Caenorhabditis elegans: one gene and its partners. The protein of the gene in region 3 purifies or fractionates together with the protein of the main gene of each other region. This does not show direct contact. Each region holds a gene or a part of one and is shown on either strand. Other genes may lie near its edges.

Region 1 (3,006 bases), on a different chromosome or scaffold from region 3:
AAGGCGTGGGCATCAACATTTTTTACTGAAAAAAAGGAAATTGGTTAGCCAACTTAGCAGGTGGAAGATGTTGGGGAAATATATAAGACCCTGAAAATAAAATCACCTGAAATCTTCAAAAGTTAAATTGAATCAAAAATTGAGTTTTTATTTTTGGTTATTTTTTTGCTGAGAATTTCGTTGAATATCATGGTAAGGATTTGGATTTTGAAAATTCAAAATGTGTTATCAACCCAAAGATCAGTTCCTGAAAAAAGGAGATGTTTGAAAAACAAACGTTTACAAACAGGAAAAAGGTCATATTAATATCCGATTAAATTTTTGCCTTGAACTTTAAAACTACTTTGGAACTTATAACTAAACTTCCGTCAAATTGAAGATATGAAATGAGATGCTTTCTTGTCGGAATATTCAAAAAATTTGAAAAATATCTAGTGAAACATTTTTTAGAGATTTTTGATAGGGCCGAACAGAGTAAGATGGGTTTTTCATGTTTTTTCATGCATAGTTATGCTGAAGCCAAAGACCTGTGCGGCAATAGATTAAAAATATATTTTCAAAATCATTCCTAAAATTTAACTCTTTCACGGATTTTAAAAATCATTAAATTAATTTATTAACTTTCTGAACTTTATGTGACGTGGCTATTGTAAAGATCTGGGACAAAGATAAGAGAGAAATTTGCTATAAATTGAGCAGAGTTTACCATAATCTTCACTGTAAGTTTCCACACTCTACAAAGAAGTCGCCAGTGCCCAATCCGTCCCACCAGGAGATATCCAGACCCAGCCGGGTACGAAGATCGTCTTCAATGCACCATACGATGACAAGCACACCTACCACATCAAGGTGATCAACTCCTCGGCTCGCCGTATTGGATACGGTATCAAGACCACCAATATGAAGAGACTTGGAGTTGATCCACCATGTGGAGTTTTGGACCCAAAGGAAGCAGTCCTTCTTGCTGTTTCCTGTGATGCCTTCGCCTTTGGACAGTAGGACACTAACAACGACCGTATTACTGTTGAGTGGACCAACACCCCGGATGGAGCTGCAAAGCAATTCCGCCGTGAATGGTTCCAAGGAGACGGTATGGTTCGTCGCAAGAACCTTCCAATTGAGTACAACCCATAGAGCCCTCTTCGACCTTGCTCAATAAATGAATTTTGAAAGCTCGTTGTTTTTTCTCTTGTTAAAAATGTTTAGGTTTAAAAGTGCACCAAATTTGGTGGAGGTAGAGGTCCACTCCCAACCGAGTTCAACCCAAAGAAGGCTTGATAAGAAAACCCTCGAGTACAATCCATAGAGCCCTGCTTGATCTTATTTAATGAATGAATTTTGCAAGTTTCATTCTTTTGCTCTCTTCAAAATTTCAGCTTTTAAAACGTTTTCAAATGGTTTACATTTAACCCACAAGAGGCCGCTTGATATCTCTTCTCTGTTCATTGGCAAAGGCATAATACAATGACTTGAATCCTCTTTGTCTAAACTTGGTATATCCGATTGTGTGTTGGAAACGAGGTGTGGTCGGTTTGTTATGTATGACTTACGACCACTGGACGCAAAAGGTTTTATAATGCTCACCGATTTGCAGCAGCAGGTGCGGCGAGATTTCCTTCAAATTCATGATATGGAAAAATGCATTCCGATTAATTACTTGTATGATTTCGCAAAAAAATATGCTTACAGTAAAGAGCACTTGTATAAACAGAACTCCAATTTTGTTTTGAGGAAAGTTTGAATTTATGTATGTTTTAAAAATTTTCAGTATGGAAAGTTCAACTTTGTTTTTCCGTTGAATTTCTGTTCAATCTGTTCGTTTCAATAATTTTCATTTGAACACGATTAGTCATCGCTGTGCGTCAGCTTTTTTTGTTTCAAATTCCATAATAGAATGTGTTCAAATAGATGCTATAAAACCAAAATTTTGAAGAAAATTCACTGCAAAAACATGAATTATTTATTCGCTTTGGTTCTGTTACCACTTCCTGTTTCAATTTTGGGAAAAAGTAGGAAACATAAAAACATTTTTAATTTAACTATATCTATTAGTTCCAGAATGTTGCCAATTCCCGGCTTATTCATTTTCCGCTATGACAAATGTTACAAAAGAAGACTTTAAATGTTCTGAACCAGTTTCAGTGCTTTGTCAAATTGACACTAATGGGAGTGGATATGTTGCAGTTGGAATTTCTGGAAATTTAACGGAACAGGCAGATACAAAGCCTTTAGTCGTGAGAAAACTTTTTTGAATTTTAAAAATATACTTTTTCGAGATCAAAAAAGGTTCATCTTCAATCTCGGCGTCTCTTGTATGCGACACTTCTTCTCAAATGTGGAAAGTTGATAAGAAATCCGATAAATATGACAATATTGGTTGTATCATGAGATCTACTGGCGGAGTTTGGATTGTTTATTGAGTATTTGGAATAAAATATATTTTTCTTTCAAAAATAGGAAAATGAGTAATAAAATAAATACTAAACTTCACAGTACATTCATTTAAAAAAAAATATTTTTCCCAAGTTTTGACTGAAATTTATGAAGAAAAAACCATTAATTGGAACCGAAATGCATAATGATTGTGTCTGAATACCCTAAAAGATCACATTTAAACATTTTTCAGAATATTTTGAACAACAAAAGTGCACTACAAGTTACTTGCCTTTAAGTTGACCTACGCCTCTAAAATTAGGCGTTTCGGTGCCTAAGCTAAATAAATATTTTACCGATGTATTCAATATATTCACAAACTTTAATTGTCAAGTTTCTCAGAGTAACACAAATTAATTTATTTCCGGACATAGATTTAAAATTTTAACAAATCATTAAAGTCTTGTTGGCAATTTTAGTTCACTCTTTCCATCTGAAAAAGTCACACATTTGTTTTTAAACAATTTATACTTCAAAACTTACAAATACAATTCTCTGGTGATCCTGCCCATTTTCCTGTTTTCAAGCACTTATAGATCTTCACAGGTTGCAGTGCAATTTCAAAAACATAAG
Region 2 (3,535 bases), on a different chromosome or scaffold from region 3:
TTCCAGGGATTCGAAGTCAGAGTGACCACTCGTCAAGCAAGGGAGAAAAAGCAAAGGTATGTTGATCATGATAACCTTTTTGAAATAATAATATTTGCAGTGCGGATCGGGAGACCAAAATTGACCTCGTGTTCAACAAGTTTGAGAGTGAACAATGATTACTATGTATTGACTTTAAATGAATATTTTTGTTCAGTTTCGTGTAGTTGCTCTTCATGTAAATTACAGGGCTTCTATCATATATCGATTTAACTACATCAGTCCTCATCTCGGTCTATCTGAACTGTGTGATATTAGTGAAACCATTGAATGTATCTAATTTTTGCTAATTAATGTCTTCAGGCCTTTGAATCCTTTCGTTTTGTGTGAGCAAGTTTTCAGATATATTTACAGGCTTTTGGGACAATGCTATGCAGTTCTATGGGGCATTTCAGAACATCTCCACAAGTTTTCGTGGTGGGACCTAAAATTGAAACACCTCGGAAGGCTAGAATGCTTCTAACTAATGACTGAATAATCTATGAAAAAATTATATATAACTGTAGTTCAAAAAAGTTTATTCAGTTAACAAATGCAAGAAATTGTATCACAAAACCATTTGAGGAATGTCTGAAAAATCACTTATAAATTGGCGAGAGAAATTTAAAAAAAAATCTCAATATCACAATCGGGAATATTATTTAGAGTGTGAAGCCTTAAATAGTATCAAAAATAATAGTTTCTCCTTCATAGATAACCTCATCAAGTTCAACATCAGTTTCAGAAATAGGAATTGTACCAATAATTTGCTCACGAAGAGCCAATCCTATCTTTTTTGGGGAGTTTTCTGGAAAATGTTTGTGATGAGTGGAGAAGAAGCGATCGTAATATCCTTTTCCATGACCACAACGAAGTCCATATGGTGAGAAGGCAACGCCGGGTGCAAGGATCAAATCCAGTGGTCCTGTAAGTACTTATAAATTGGAGTTATATTATTAAAAAGCAGTCACACCTGTTTCATGATAGCTTTGCCATTTCCATTTCGGTTCTGGCTGTCTGATTCCCCAAAGTGTTGAAGGAAGATTGTCAAAAGCAGTTTGATCCGGAACTCGAACCATATCCATTGCAGTTGAGCCCTTCGTGAACTGAAATTTTTACATTTGTGACTTCAATAAATTATACTTGCTGTACGTGCCTGTCTCCCTGGATTCATATATAATATCTGCCTAGGTACTAATTGCCTGCCTACTACAAACGATTACAGCCTTCATGTCTAGGGGCCTACTTTACGCCTACCTCGCAAGTGCCTTAGTTCTGCCTGGCTACGTGCCTGCCTGCCTTTATTCATAGCTCATATCTGCCTACTTCTTGTCGGCCTACCTGCTTTATTTCTGCCTGCCTATGTGCCTACCTACATGCCTACATCTTAACATCTATTGCGCATCTGTTTCAAAATAAATTTTACCTGTGGAATGAAAACTTCTTTTCCCATTTCCAACGCTTTTTGAATAATCGAATCAGTTTGTATTTCTCCCGATGTACTAACATAAACTGACAATCTCTTGCTCTCTTGAAACCATTTCGATTCAATTATTTTTTCAAAAACCGCCTCTGTTTGACGTTGAGTTTCTTCTTTCGAAATTTTTCCGAGCAATGTCTTCATAAACTGCCTGAGCTCTGATTTTACCTCTTTTATAGCACTCATCTGAAAATGTTGGTCAAAAATTTGTTTTCAAGAGATTCAGAAAACTGTTAGTGGCCTGTAGTTAATGGCTCGTTATTCAAATTAAGTTAAATACACAGTAATAGGCATAAATTACAAAATTTATTATGCACATGGAAATGTTTTGCCTTTCAATATGGTAAAATGCACGTAAGAATGATAAAGCTTGAATATGATTAAAACTTTGAAATAAAGCTTTTGATATCGTCAGGGATCGGTGGAATTTCTGGTTTCTCCTCGGGGTTCGTGAGTTTCACATTGAGAAGGCGAACTCGTAGCTCCATTTTCAGCATTCGTTCAACCATTGCATCGGTTTCACTGAAAATATTTCAATTGGTATTTTCGGGGCTTCCTATTCTTCAGGTTACTGTAACTACAGTAACCAATGTCTAGATACCTTTTAACTGCCTTGCTCCCAATCAATTCAGCAAGACCTTCAAGCCATATAACAGATTGAGTTTCATCGGATGTCAATGCCATTAAAACTTCGCCTTCTTTCATATCATTTGTTGTTTTTAATTGTACACGAATCCCTCTTAACATTTGTGTAGATGGAGAAGAAGTGAATCGAGATGAGCTTGCTTTTCTATCAATCTCATCATTATTTGTTACATCAGCAATATCTTTGATCCAAACTGAAAATAAATTAATTTATTATTTGAGAACTAATTCAATATTCCCCCAACCTTGCCGAATATCATCTCTCTGCACACCTTCCACATAGTTCTCACCATCACATCCAGTTATAGTGAGCATTTTCTCCGATGCATCGAGCTTCCAATGCCAGAAGGCGAGCTTTGCGAGGGATTTACTTTTCTGTGGTTTTCGAAAAACGGCGCCTAACTTCAAATAGTTTAGATGATTTATTCGAACCAATTCCTCCATTTTTGGCCGCAATTTCGATTTTAGTTGTCTGAAAATATGTATACGAATAAGTTATTGGAATTTTCAGACTTACATCACAGCTTCACTATGTAATTGAATATTTTCCTTTCCCAATTGTTCCTCTCTCCAAATTTCTTGCATTGCCCTATACGAAAAAGTCTCCAAATCCGCAGATAGTTCTTCTACATCTTGTATTTCCCGTCTTTTCAGCACATGCCGTAACTGTTCCAGTACAACACACGCAACTTTCTCCATTTCACCTCCTTTTGCCTGCATCTCACGCCATGTTCGATGGAAAAGGTGTACAATACATGCGAATACAGCTGGAAATGGAGTCTCCGTGGAAAAGAGAACTACAATCAAACGATCCAACTCATCACGACCAGGTATTACTCTGAACAATTCTGCGGCAATGTCACAGCACCTGAATTTAAAAAATCATCAGAACATCTTTACGTTTGCAAAAAAACCTCATCCACATTGGAATCAGTTGCCATTTTCCTCCTTCAATCCTCATTGTATTCTCCGAAATTAGCATTCTCAGATCTTGCGGACTTTTTTCTGCAAATTGAACCATCGAAATTGCAGCCAACCGTCCACATCGGTGTTCCCCAATTTGTGATTTCCACATTTCTCTGATCTCCTCGGAAACATCCTCACTGGATTCAATATCAAGAATTTTCTGAACTTCAGCATCAGTAGGAGGTGAAGTTTCATATGCACTAATCAGACTCCTTTGAACCTCAACAAGTTGTTCAATAGCATTCAGATTTCGAACACCACCACCACCACGTAGAAGAGAACTGTGTACAGCATTACGGAATGGAACGACTTCTAAAGATTTAATAAGTTCAAATCGTTTTTCATCATCAGGACATCTTCTTATCATTGAATTCATTAGTGAAAGTGCACAAAGAGCAATTCGTTCATCTGATTTTTCAACGTGTC
Region 3 (7,665 bases):
CTACGTTCTAATTATAAAAATCAGTCAGAAGCCTAAAAAGTTTTAGTTTTGAGTTAATGAGTAATTAAACGAATAAATTTTATTTGATGAAAAATTTGTATTAAACAAATAATAACGGTTTACTATCTTCGGTTTAAAATAGTTTCAAGAAAACTCACTCGGATGGGCAAGAGCCAAGGCGATAAGACCAGCAACAATGATTATTCTCATGGTTACCTAAAAATATAAAGCTCTGATATGATTGTAACGAAGAGAAGAAATGCAAGGACTAAGAAAACTGTAAAGAAGAAGAAATGAATTTGCAGAAGAATTTATGTTTGTGCCGATTCAACCATGACCCGTCGTCCTTATAAACGGTTGGATGGTGCCGTCGTTGTCATCGCCAATTTCGTCGAGGCCGATCCCTCCCACCCGTTTTTGTTGGGGTTTCTGTTTCCTAGAACTTTTCTTCATGTCTTTCCTTCCTTTCTCGATTCTTCACTTTTTCAATCGCTTTTTGGGGTTGCCACCGATCACAGAAAAAGTTTACGGCGTTGCGCAACCGGTTTCAAAGGTCGAGATGAAGAGGTCAGGCGACGTAATAGCGAGAAAGATAATGAGACGCAAACACGGAACAGTAGTGGACATAGGAAAGACTGTTTACGTTTGTTTTTTCGAAACATCAGGTAGATCGGATAAAAAAACGATGCACCCGGAACTGTTTGAAAGCTGCTAAAATTTATTATGAAACTGTTCAAAGGAATTGTGAAACATGGTAACAAGGACAAAAACTACTTGAAACTCACTATAACCCCAAAACCTTATAACTTTCAACTACCTTTGAGGTGAAATAAGTTATATGGAGAAGAACTATATAAACCAAAGACTAAGTAACATCTGGTTTCTTTTGAAAAAACAGGAGTGAGAATTCATCGGCTTTTCAAACTTTCAAAGATCGTATTGATGTTTGTAAAAAATATTTTTTTTCGTTTTGAAGATATTCTGAATTACTTGTCGGTGAAGCACATGCAAATGTAGATATTTCCCTTTAAAGATAATATATTTTTTGACGCCAAATGCCACAAAAAATTTTAGCTGCAGAAGATTATATTGAAAAGACCATACATTAATCCGCCTTCATAATGGTTACTATCTTTACTGGTTATAAAGAAATCATTTTCCTAATTATAAATCATCAGCATCATGCGATTCTCATTTTAACATCATATAATATCACAACAACACAGACTAGAAGAAAAGAGTATAACAATTGTCAACAATTTTGTATTAGAGGTTTAAAACTGTTTTTACGATTTTTAAACTTGTTTATGTTATGCAAATAAAAAAAATTTCAATTAATAATTCATTCTTACACATTTTTCTAATATAAAACCACAGTACCATGATCAACCATTTTACAATTCCATCGTTTCTCTCTACTCAATCTTAAGTCAGCATCTGGTTTTTTTGTTTATCAATTTATCAGAATTTTTTTAACTTCTTATCTTAAATCAAAAAGTACATTTTGAAACAAATTCAGTCTGAACCAATCTCTATTTCTTCAAATTTCATTTACTTAACTTCAATCTTTTACAGTTTTGCACTTGTTTGTTCTTCTTTTTCAATTTCATTTTCATCTCAAGAAGATGGATGGCCTTCTTCAGTGTTCGTTCCAGTAAAATAGTATTCGGACTTGAGAGGTCTGAAGAAAAAGGTTTGTGATCATTGAGTGATTTTTTTTTGTGGTTTTCCATCCAATTTTCATTTGCCAATGTCCTAAACTGTTTATGATTCCAAGGTCAATTTTGATCTATTCCCGATTAAAATTTTCGGGCCATCGAAAACCAAAAGAAATCGGCGAACTGAACTGTTTTCTAAAAAGGAAGAAGCGATATGAAGATATGTTAGTCTCAATAATTGATAAGATTAAATCATCAACAAAAAAAGTCAAATAGTATATCTACGATGACGTTTCCATATATAGATTCTTGCTTAAAATTTGACAAAACCAGTGGAGTGAACTCATATTGGTAACCTGGAATAGTGTGCTCAATTATGATACTTGACAGATGAATCAATTTCGATATTTAAAAAAAAATATGTATAGGTTTATTTGGATTTGAAAATATTAGATTTTTCAAGTTTTTTTACACTGTTTTATGCCATTAAAAAAATCAAATATCACACCACCTCTGCGACACAGAAGTGTTAACAAAATTTGAGGTTTTCCTAAAATTTTGAAAGGTCATTTAAATTTTTTTACAGATTTTTCAATATGTTTCGGGAGAATTTTCGTTTTTCCGATGCCATTTTGATTGAAGTAATCAATATAATTTAACTTTCCCAGCTTTACGGCTAATGAATACTCATTTTTGTTTTTTTTTTCTATTTTGAAATACTGCAGAGCCAAGAGTTGATTGTTTTTGGTTTCTAACCAGTTCCATTTCAACTTTTTTTCTTTTTTCTGCCATTAAAAAATAACTGTCACAATCACCCACTCTGCCGACAATTAAAATACCAATTGGTTTCGCTTTTTGGGTCATGTGGAAACATATTGGAAGTTTCGAGATCATTTATTACACAAAACTTTTTTTTGAGGGGCGCCCAATGTTGAACGTGAAAAGCAATTAAGAAGAGACTGTGCGGAAAAAAAAGACGGAACGGAAAGAAGATAGATAGTAATTCGATTTAAAGTTCAATTTATATACTTTTTGAATCATAAAGAACGGTTTAAAATAAGAATATGATAACTTGATGCTTGAAATCATTTTCCAAGACGGCACTGACCCCAGGAACATAGCATTCCTTCGGATCTAACAGCAGCTGGTCCATCTTTCGGGAATACTTTATAGTATATTGTGCCGCCCATCCCTTCCAGATGAGCCGACGTTTGTCCAACTGGATTTACTCCTTTCTTAGGAAACTGTTCCCACGACTGAAAAGTTAAAATTGGCATGATAAAAACATATTTCACATTTCACGCAACTGTTCTAAAAAATCGTCAAGTCAAAAATTCATGATTGATCTATTATATGTGTACATTTTTCTTTTTTCTTCAACTTTTTCCACGTCTCCTCGCGAGCGTAAATAAATTAAATTAAATAACACTGTAACGTGTTATTTTTTCTTGCATATTGTTTGTTACTGAAGTGTAAAAAAAACTGACTATGAGACAACAACTGCTGTGGTATAATAACTAAACAGAAAAATTTGTAAAATACAGAAAAAAAAATGACGAAAATTGAACGTAAAAGGAAGTATATGTAGTAAGTGTTTTTGTCGTAGAGATATATAATTTTCCAACCCGCGAAAATTTTCATAAAGGAGAATTGAATTTTTTTTTGATAATTTTTGCGGATTTGATAATTTTTTCTTGATAATTCGGCAATTGCCGCCCACCCCATATACACTAGCGGGCATTAAACTTACTTTTAAAATTGTTGGAGACAAGTTGCATATAGTTCCAGTGATTGTAAAATTCTTTGTTTCCCCATACTTCGAAAATTTAAAAATTTCGGAATCCGTTTTGTTGAACCAGGTGAACTGGGCCCATACATCCCTATCTGTTTCCGATCTTACTTGAGCGTTGAATTTGCAACAATCCATAATAACAAAAACAGAAATGAATGAAAAAATTCGCAAAATTTTCATCTTAAAGGTGCGTGGTATAAGTCAAAATTGGTGTGAATGACGAGAAACAGAAACGAATAAATATATAGGTTTGTAGGTCATAATGATATCACATGTACGGAAACAATGATAAAATACATCAAAATCAAAGATTAAATGTAAATTTAGTAGCTAAAAGACAATTGCATGACACCTGAAATTTGAAACTCTAACAGAACAGTATCTGTGATTTGTGAAATCAGGAAATTGGAAGTTTCGATCGGTACAAATACATCCCATACTTCTTGCCAAAGGAAACACATTTTGCATTGTGTCCATTGAAGTTCTTCGTATTATTACCGGATCGTCAGTCTTTTTGGAGGCCTAAGAATACGGAATAATTATTTTAAAACTGTTTCAACCCACCTTTTTTATAATATCATACAAAATAACGTCATTACAACGTTCACCTTCAAAATTATCATCTTGGCATGATGCCAGAGTGAAAAACATGACAAGTACTAACAATAATAATAAAGAAGACATATTAACTTTAAATGACCTCTGTTCCTGGAGACCTTTTTACTTTTATAGGTAGTTTAATTGGTTGCAGTACCAATTTTTGTTTTTATTAGTTCACGGGAAAGTATTATTTTCAGCTAAACGTGTTTTTCAAGTGTTATTTTATGAAAAAACATTTGTGTGTCACGTCCAAATTGATACGATTAGTTGTAAAAACTGTTGGTTTATTATTAAAAAATAAAGGGTTAATTGTAAACATTCATCGATTCTTTAATAGTATTCTATCGATTTAAAAAAATGATTCAACCAAAGAATGTCTGAAATAAGTTTGAATTCCTGACTATGAGTAAATGAATTACCAGTTGATTTTTTTCCAGTTGAAGCATCTTTTTTTTTGATTTTTAGACACTTTTCAATAAACCTTGATACTTAATACTAACAAACATCGTTGAAACTTAAAACTTTCACTATAAATTGATAGTTTTTCTTCTTATTTAAAATTTTTGCAGTCTCGGAAAATTTGAAATAGGTTGTTAAAACCATGTAACAGAGCAAAAACAAAAAAAACCGTATAATATAATCGGAATTGAAATTTTTTATGAAAAGTTTAATAAATCATAGGAACATTGTGAAATACACTTTTACAGTTATAATTTATTAATATAATCCGTTTCCTATCAGAGCTAAGTTTATAATTTTGTTACTATAACATGTTAAACATTGCCCCAAACACAAGAAAAGTTACACAATGGTCATCTTGGCCAAGAAATTGATAAGATAAATCATGGGAAGTAAAGAGCAACTGTTCATTCGAGCCCTGCAGTCGTCAGTAGTTTCCAATAATGTCAAGATGGAAGGTCGTTATTTTGTGCCTATTAAGTTTTATGTTTGAAATCGGTATGTTTATATTTGGTTGATTTACAATCAGCGTTTTTTTTCTGTTTGAATGAAAAATGTGAGAAATTCATGAAAGAAAATCTCTAGTTTATTAAAAAAACTAGATCATAAAAAAATTTAAAAACAGGTTTCACTTGGACTATTCTTTAAAAAAAACGTTCTAAGGCTAAATTGCTTTGGATTAAATTTAAAAAAAAACCCACACTGACTAAAAATTGCATTCCCTAATGAGACTTCATAATAAGTTTTCGGTTTTAATGGCTCCAAAAAATCATAGATAAATTTTTGAGAAGTCTTTTAATGATATTCGGTTTTAGGTGTGGGGAGGTAGTTTTGAGTTTCCCAAACAATGAATAAAGTGAGAATGATTTACCGTTCAGTATTAATATTCTTTTAGGTCATGCTTCTTTTCAATGCAACCCAAAAACCTATGACGGCGCGTTTCTCAACATTGTTTGTGTTTGCAACGCAACGTTTTGCGATGAAATTGAGCCAATAGGAGAGATAGCTGAAGGGAAGGCAATTGTTTATAGATCAAGTTTGGACGGCGATAGATTGAAACGCATGAGTATGAAAATGAAAGAGAAATTGAGAAAAAATGAATCAGGTAAGAATACTTATCTAACACATTTCCGAGGTGCAAATCATCCTCCAATTATTAAATGTTTTATAGTTAATGTGACAATTACAATAGATGCCAGTGAAAGATTTCAAAATATTTTTGGTTTTGGAGGAGCATTTACTGATTCTGCCGGCGATCAATTTGTTTCCTTATCGGAGACACTTCAAAATTATATCGTTGATTCATATTTTGGAAAAAATGGATTAGAATATAATATAGGAAGAGTTCCAATAGCCAGTTGTGATTTTTCTACTCATGAATATAGCTATGATGACGTTCATGATGATTTTGAATTAAAACATTTTGCATTACCTGATGAAGATTTAAAACTAAAGGTAATTTTAATAAACGGCAAAACTTCAAAAAAAAGACTGAAACTTTCAGATTCCATTTATCAAGAAAGCAATTGAAAAAACTGAAGGAAACATTCAATTATTTGCCAGTCCATGGTCAGCTCCTGGATGGATGAAAGTTACTGGACGCATGAGGGGCGGAGGAGCTATGAGAAATGATAAGCGTGTTTATCAAGCGTACGCTGATTATTTTTTTAAGTAAGTTTTTGTGTTTATTCGAAAACACTGAATTATTATTTTTAAAAGATTTTTCGAAGCCTATTCATCTCATGCAATTACCTTTTGGGGACTAACAATTCAAAATGAGCCATCAACAGGAGCTGACATGGCATGGAGATGGCAGACTATGAATTATACAGCAGAAACGATGCGAGATTTTCTAAAAAAATATCTTGGCCCAAAACTGAAAGAAAATAAACTAACGGAAACTTTGAAAGTTATGGTTTTGGATGATGGAAGAGGATTACTCCCTGGATGGGCTGACACTATTTTCAATGACCCGGAAGCAACCAAATATGCAGATGGTGTAGCAGTTCACTGGTATGGTAACTTGTATTCTCCTGCTGTTCTTCTTGATATTACTCAAAGGCATCATCCAACCAAATTTATTTTTGGAACCGAGGTAAGATTGAATACCATGAATATGGTTATTCATGAAAGTATTGATGCAAAAAAAAATGACTGTACATTCTTAGTTTTCAAGTTTTCTGCAGGCATGCGCGGGTTACGCTATTCATCATGGCCCATTAATGGGTGACTGGTTTACGGCAGAAAATTATGCATCTGATATTATCAGTGACTTAAACCACCACTTTACTGGATGGACCGATTGGAACTTATGTCTGGACGACATGGGCGGCCCGACTTGGGTTGATAACTTTGTTGATTCTCCAATTATTGTAAATCGTACAGGGCAAGAGTTCTACAAACAACCAATGTTCTATGCAATGGGACATTTTAGGTATGTTAAGATGTTATGCTGCCATGATTTGATGATTACAAATTATTATAATCAAACTTAATACAAAAAGTGTCTAATCCAAATGCCCGTTGCACTTGAACCTTGGTTTTTGTAAAACTCATCAGCACCTAGCTTTGCTTGTTATCAGCGCATATTTAGTTCAAACTCAGACATCCTGGAGAGTATATTTCAGCCAGCTTGTTTCAGGCATGTGCTGGCTACTTTGGACATCATGGTCCAATAATGGGAGACTGGTTCCGCGCAGAAAGTTATGCAGATGATATCATCACTGATCTTAATCATCACGTTACGGGATGGACTGACTGGAATCTTTGCCTTGATGAAACTGGTGGGCCAAATTGGGCCTACAATGTTGTAGATTCCCCAATCATTGTCAACCGAACTGCTCAAGAGTTTTACAAACAACCAATGTTCTATGCATTGGGCCACTTTAGGTTTATTAACCTTATGATTCTGAAAACATACTTTTTTTTAGTAAATTCCTTCCACGTGGATCTACTCGTGTGTTCACAAAGATCGAGGGAAACCTGGCTGTCTCAGCTACAAGTGTTGTGATTGAAGGTGGAAGACGAGCTACAGTTATTTTATCAAAAGCGTCCAACTCATTATTGACACGTATAGTTGACAGTTCAACAGGATTCTCTATTGTGCTGAATTTGCCCCCAAGATCCATTCATACAGTGATTTGGAAGAAAAGAAAA
Region 4 (5,015 bases), on a different chromosome or scaffold from region 3:
TTTAGTGAAATTTTAAATTTCTCTGAAAAATTGGTGCATTTTAAGGGATTTTACGCAATTTTCCGAACTTTAAACCTAAAATTTCCGATTTTTGTGCAAAATATCGTAAAATATAGTGTTTTGGTGGTGTTTGCGTACTTTCGAGGCTACAGTACCCCCGGTTGTTCAAATTTTCGTTGAGTTTGGGGAAAATTTAGAAAATAATAGATTTAATGTCTAAAATTTCAAACTTTTTGAATTCCCAGCCAGCTAAATTTTTCCCAAAAAAATTGGAAAAATTTTAGGGATTTTACGAAAATTTGCAAGTTATTGCCTAAAACTGGCCGAAATTTACTTTTTTTCGGAATAATTGTAGAAATTTTGTGAATTTTGTGAAGTCAACACCGTTTTTTCCTAAAAAAATGCCAAAAATTTCCCGAAAATCCCCTCTCTGAGCATTTCCCCTGTGACTTGTGCGTTTCTCAGATTTTGGCATAAAAACTGCATTTATTCACATTTTCAGTCTTAAATTAGGCTGAAAATGTGAATAAATACCGTATTTCTGCCAACAATTTGACAATAGAGCACATTTGTCACTCGGAGATGCGGAAGCTATGCCCAAATTTTCATTTTTAAGCCAAAAATTTGGATTTTCACAAATTTTCAGTAGAAAATTCGAATTCTCCATCGATTTCTACCCTAGAACATCCTTCAATAGGCTTCTAGCTCGAATTTTGTTTTCTGGGGTACGGTAGCCCCAAAAGTACGCAAACACCGAGGGCCTCACGACAAAATGCACAACTTTCTTAATTCTTGCGGCTAAGCTCTGAAAAACAGGTTTTCGATGTAAAAAATGGCGAGAAACTCGATTTTTCACAAGAAAAACGCTGAAAATGTTGAAATTTTCAGATTTAATCACCGTAATCGATCTCCTCCATCACTTTCCTCTCGAACATCACGTCATCGGTCCCCGGAACGCCGGCGGGATAGATCACGATCCAGAAGTCTGACATATTCACCAATTGATCGAAAATCCCGAACAAATAGTGATAAATATGATAAGAAACGGGCGAAAAAGAGCAACAGACGGGATAGATCAAGGTTCGGTGATGAAAAATTTGAATTTTTTGAATATACCGCCAAAAAATATTCAAAAATTTGAATTTTTTGAATTTTCCGCCAAAAAATGATCAAAAATTTGAATTTTTGAATTTCCCGCCAAAAAATGATCAAAAATTTGAATTTTTGAATTTCCCGCCAAAAAATGATCAAAAATTTGAATTTTTGAATTTTCCGCCAAAAAATATCCAAAATTTAAATTTTCCGCCGAAAAAAAAACCGATATTTTTTCAGTTCTTCATCATCCGGTTCAACTTCTCCAATTCGACGCGAAAAACGCGAAAAATCCAGGAAATAAATGCATTTTTATTTATTTTTATATTTTTATTCAAATTTAATTTATTATTTTATTCGAAAAATCGATATTTTTTCTGAAAAAATCGATATTTTTCTGAAAAATCGATAATTTTCTGAAAAAAAAAATCGATATTTTTTCTGAAAAATCGATAATTTTCTAAAAAAAATCGAAATTTTTCTGAAAAATCGATAATTTTCTGAAAAAATCGATAATTTTCCAAAAAAAAAATCGATATTTTTTTTGAAAAATCGATATTTTTCCAAAAAAATCGATATTTTTCTGAAAAAATCGATAATTTTCTGAAAAAAATTGATAATTTTCTGAAAAAAATCGATATTTTCTGAAAAAATCGATAATTTTTCTGAAAAAATCGATAATTTTCTCTAAAAATCGATATTTTTCTGAAAAAATCGATAATTTCTGTGGTTTTCAATCAATACTTGTTTCAATTGTGCTTCTTTTTTTTGTAATTCAAAATTAAATTTTTTTTTCTCCGAATTTTTCCAATTTTTTCAGTTTTTTTTTGTTGTTGATTCTCCCTGACTTTGCAATATTTTTTTTTGTTTTACAAAATTATTGATTTTTTCAGAATTTTTTTAAGAAATTTTTTTTCAGCCGTACAATGCCACGTGGCATTGTGCTCACCAACAGTAAACCCGTCGAGGGAATGGTTTACCAAATGGCATTGGTTTTTGATCAAAATTATGAGGTAAAAAACCAGAAAATTCGCAAAATTTCGGTGTTTGCGTACTTTTGGAGCTACAGTACCCCCGAAATTCGAAGAAATTTGAGTGAAAATTTGAATTTCTTTGAAAAATTGGAGCATTTTGAGGAGTTTTGCGCAATTTTCCGGCCTGTAAACCGAAAATTGCCGATTTTTGTGCAAATTGTCGTGAAATCTAGTGTTTTTGTAGTGTTTGCGTACTTTTGGGGCTACAGTACCCCCGAAATTTGTAATTTGAGTGAAAAATCGATTTTTTTTTTTAATTTTTTGAGCATTTTCCTGATTTTTCAGAGGTTTTCCGACCTTTAAACCGAAAATTTCCGATTTTTGTGCAAATTGTCGTGAAATCCAGTGTTTTGGTGGTTTTTGCGTACTTCTGGGCCTGAGATTTTCAGTAAAAACTCGACTTTTTTTTTCGAAAATTGAAAATTTTGCATAATTTTATAATTTTTTTTCAGGAAAACTCGAAAACTAGACATTTTTACGATTTTTCAGTGCTAAATTCGAATTCAGAGCACCAATTTACCCCCATTTTGCATATTTTCACAAAATTTCGGAAAACTGCATTTTGTCGTGGGATGCTCGATGTTTGCGTACTTTTGGCGCTACCGTACCCCGGGAAATTCGAAATTTCGATTTTCCCGATTTTTTAGATATTTTACGCAATTTCCCGACCTTTAAACCGAAAATTTCCGATTTTTGTGCAAATTGTCGTAAAATCTAAAAAAAAATTTCGAAAATTTGCAAGTTTTAACCTAAAACTGCTGGAATTTACTGTTTTTTTCGAAATTATTGTAAAAATTTGGGAATTATCCTCTGAAAAATGGCTCAAAACCGAATTTTTGAGATTTCAAGCTAATTTTTCCGAAAAACTTTTGTTTTCCGAGGTTTTTAACTGGAATTTTGGAAATTTTTGGAAAAAAATACGATTTTTCATCAAAATTTCACGATTTTCGAATTTTTCGCGTTTTCCTAGGCTTCTAGCTCAAATTTGGATTTCCCGGGGTACTGTAGCGCCAAAAGTACGCAAACACCGAGCATCCCACGACAAAATGCACAGTTTTTTGAAAATTTGCGAAAATATGCAAAATAGGGGTAAATTGGTGCTCTGAATTCGAATTTAGCAGTGAAAAATCGTAAAAATTCCGAGTTTTCGAGTTTTTCTATAAAATTTGTAAAATTATATGCACAAATTTTCAATTTTTGAAAAAAAAAAGGTTTTCAGTTCGATTTTCGAATTCCCCAGCCAATTTTACCCCTAAATCGTGTTTTCCCAGCTTTCTATCGCGAAATTTCAATTTTCCGGGTTACTGTAGCCCCAAAAGTACGCAAACACCGAGGATCCCACGACAAATTACACAGTTTCTTAAAATCGAGCGAAACTGTGCAAAATAGGAGTAAAAAAGTGCTCTGAATGCGAATTTCGCAGTGAAAATGCACAAAAATGAGTAGTTTTCAGGCTTCTGGCCTAATTCTGGCCCGAAAAAAACGAAAATTTTCACGCTTTTCAGACCGTAAAGCAGTTTAAAATGATTCCAGTGGTTACACAACGCACAAAAACGAAACAAGTCTCAAATGTGTACAGGTAATCGGAAAAAAAACCGGAAAAAATCGATAATTAAGCGGAAAATGACATTTTCAGTGGAAATATGCGCCTCGAAAAATCAATGCAAATCGACGAGACTCTTGTATTCGGTCAAACAATTGACTGGGAACCAACTGATGATGAAGGAATGTCTGTTGAGGTGAAAATGGAAGAAATTCTGGATTTTTCAGTGAAAATTTGGAGAAAAACGAGTGAAAACCCGCGTTTTTGCGGTGAAAATTCGAAAAAAAAACCGAGTTTTTCGATTTTTTCACTGAAATTTTGGAAAAAATCTAAGAAAAATGACTAAAACTCATCAATTTCTATGAAATTCTGGATTTTTCAGTGAAAATCCCGTTTTTGCGGTGAAAATATCAGAAAAAAACAGTTTTTTTTGAATTTTTTGAATTTCCCGCCAAAAAAATATTCAAAAATTTGAATTTTCCGCTAAAAAATATTTAAAAATTTGAATTTTTTGAATTTTCCGCCAAAAAATATTCAAAATTTTGAATTTTTTGAATTTCCCGCCAAAAAATATTTAACAATTTGAATTTTTTGAATTTCCCGCCAAAAAATATTTAAAAATTTGAATTTTTTGAATTTTCCGCCAAATAATATTCAAAAATTCGCTTTTTTCACTGAAATTTTGAAAAAAGTCTTTTAAAAATTCGTGAAAAATTAAATTTTTCATTGAAAAACCTGAAAAACTACCAAATTTTTCCACTTTTTCGTCGAAAAATGACTAGACACTGAATAATTTTTACATTTTCCACTGAAAATTTGAAAAAAAATCCACGAAATTCCGAATTTTGATGCAAAAATCCGTTAAAAAACTGCAAATTTTTGCAAATTTCATGCAGAAAATTCGAAAAAATCCCCAATTTTCATCCTAAAATTCCATTTTTTTTGCAGATTGTGAGAAAATACAAACGAATCCGCCCGGCCTATGAATCTCGAATTTTCGACGGAGAAACACAGCTTCTACTGCCTGGAATTATGTCCAGAAATCGAGAAGTTCTTTGGATGTGTGATATTTGGCCACAACTCGAAATTAGTACGGGTTTTTCACTGAAAACCCGCCGCGAAAAATGGCTCAAATTCATGGATTTTTCAAAAAATCCCACTGAAAATTCAATTTCCCCCCAAAAAACCTCGAAAATTCGAATTCTCCACGTCTCCAGCTTTCAAATGACCCCTGACATATTCCATGCAATTGCCCATATTCCATGCAATTTGCCCCACCGACACAGCTGAAATCGGTGCTACAGTAACCCGCGTGGCGGGACCCGAAATTTTCAAATTGCGCGGAA

Evidence for each region.
Region 1: the proteins of gba-3 (region 3) and F59A6.12 fractionate together in Caenorhabditis elegans (co-fractionation; one large-scale study listed by BioGRID). This does not show direct contact.
Region 2: the proteins of gba-3 (region 3) and Y106G6E.4 fractionate together in Caenorhabditis elegans (co-fractionation; one large-scale study listed by BioGRID). This does not show direct contact.
Region 4: the proteins of gba-3 (region 3) and rexd-1 fractionate together in Caenorhabditis elegans (co-fractionation; one large-scale study listed by BioGRID). This does not show direct contact.

Annotation. Positions count from the first base shown.
Region 1 is NC_003280.10:5,011,002-5,014,007, reverse strand, and holds F59A6.12 (C6 domain-containing protein), read left to right. Parts: upstream 1-1,929; 5' UTR 1,930-1,951; coding exon 1,952-2,009; intron 2,010-2,058; coding exon 2,059-2,234; intron 2,235-2,276; coding exon 2,277-2,420; 3' UTR 2,421-2,485; downstream 2,486-3,006. Other genes in the region: F59A6.3 (Sushi domain-containing protein), read right to left, coding at 2,829-2,866, 2,917-3,006.
Region 2 is NC_003279.8:10,221,095-10,224,629, forward strand, and holds Y106G6E.4 (putative 5-formyltetrahydrofolate cyclo-ligase), read right to left. Parts: upstream 1,685-3,535; coding exon 1,445-1,684; intron 1,125-1,444; coding exon 992-1,124; intron 944-991; coding exon 696-943; 3' UTR 548-695; downstream 1-547. Other genes in the region: ced-12 (Cell death abnormality protein 12), read right to left, coding at 1,879-2,020, 2,100-2,337, 2,389-2,615, 2,661-3,011, 3,058-3,535. UniProt on the Caenorhabditis elegans protein: Contributes to tetrahydrofolate metabolism. Helps regulate carbon flow through the folate-dependent one-carbon metabolic network that supplies carbon for the biosynthesis of purines, thymidine and amino acids.
Region 3 is NC_003282.8:17,471,705-17,479,369, forward strand, and holds the start of gba-3 (Putative glucosylceramidase 3), read left to right. Parts: upstream 1-1,629; coding exon 1,630-1,693; exon of another isoform or gene 1,694-1,718; intron 1,719-2,538; exon of another isoform or gene 2,539-2,743; coding exon of another isoform or gene 2,744-2,914; intron 2,915-3,408; coding exon of another isoform or gene 3,409-3,630; exon of another isoform or gene 3,631-3,780; coding exon of another isoform or gene 3,781-3,972; intron 3,973-4,014; coding exon of another isoform or gene 4,015-4,134; exon of another isoform or gene 4,135-4,139; intron 4,140-4,799; exon of another isoform or gene 4,800-4,820; intron 4,821-4,903; exon of another isoform or gene 4,904-4,952; coding exon of another isoform or gene 4,953-5,007; intron 5,008-5,404; coding exon 5,405-5,614; intron 5,615-5,680; coding exon 5,681-5,964; intron 5,965-6,013; coding exon 6,014-6,180; intron 6,181-6,228; coding exon 6,229-6,604; intron 6,605-6,695; coding exon of another isoform or gene 6,696-6,943; intron 6,944-7,150; coding exon 7,151-7,398; intron 7,399-7,439; coding exon 7,440-7,665. Other genes in the region: epic-1 (Ascaris suum EPICuticlin protein related), read right to left, coding at 159-210; F11E6.9 (TransThyretin-Related family domain), read right to left, coding at 2,744-2,914, 3,409-3,630; grl-24 (Ground-like domain-containing protein), read right to left, coding at 3,781-3,972, 4,015-4,134. UniProt on the Caenorhabditis elegans protein: Glucosylceramidase that catalyzes the hydrolysis of glucosylceramides into free ceramides and glucose. C.elegans contain specific sphingoid bases, which are unique or different in structure compared to the sphingoid bases found in other animals.
Region 4 is NC_003281.10:1,832,502-1,837,516, forward strand, and holds the start of rexd-1 (Minor tail protein), read left to right. Parts: upstream 1-2,011; 5' UTR 2,012-2,018; coding exon 2,019-2,105; intron 2,106-3,631; coding exon 3,632-3,705; intron 3,706-3,762; coding exon 3,763-3,865; intron 3,866-4,617; coding exon 4,618-4,759; intron 4,760-5,015. Other genes in the region: Y39A3CL.7 (uncharacterized protein), read left to right, coding at 889-1,080, 1,333-1,396.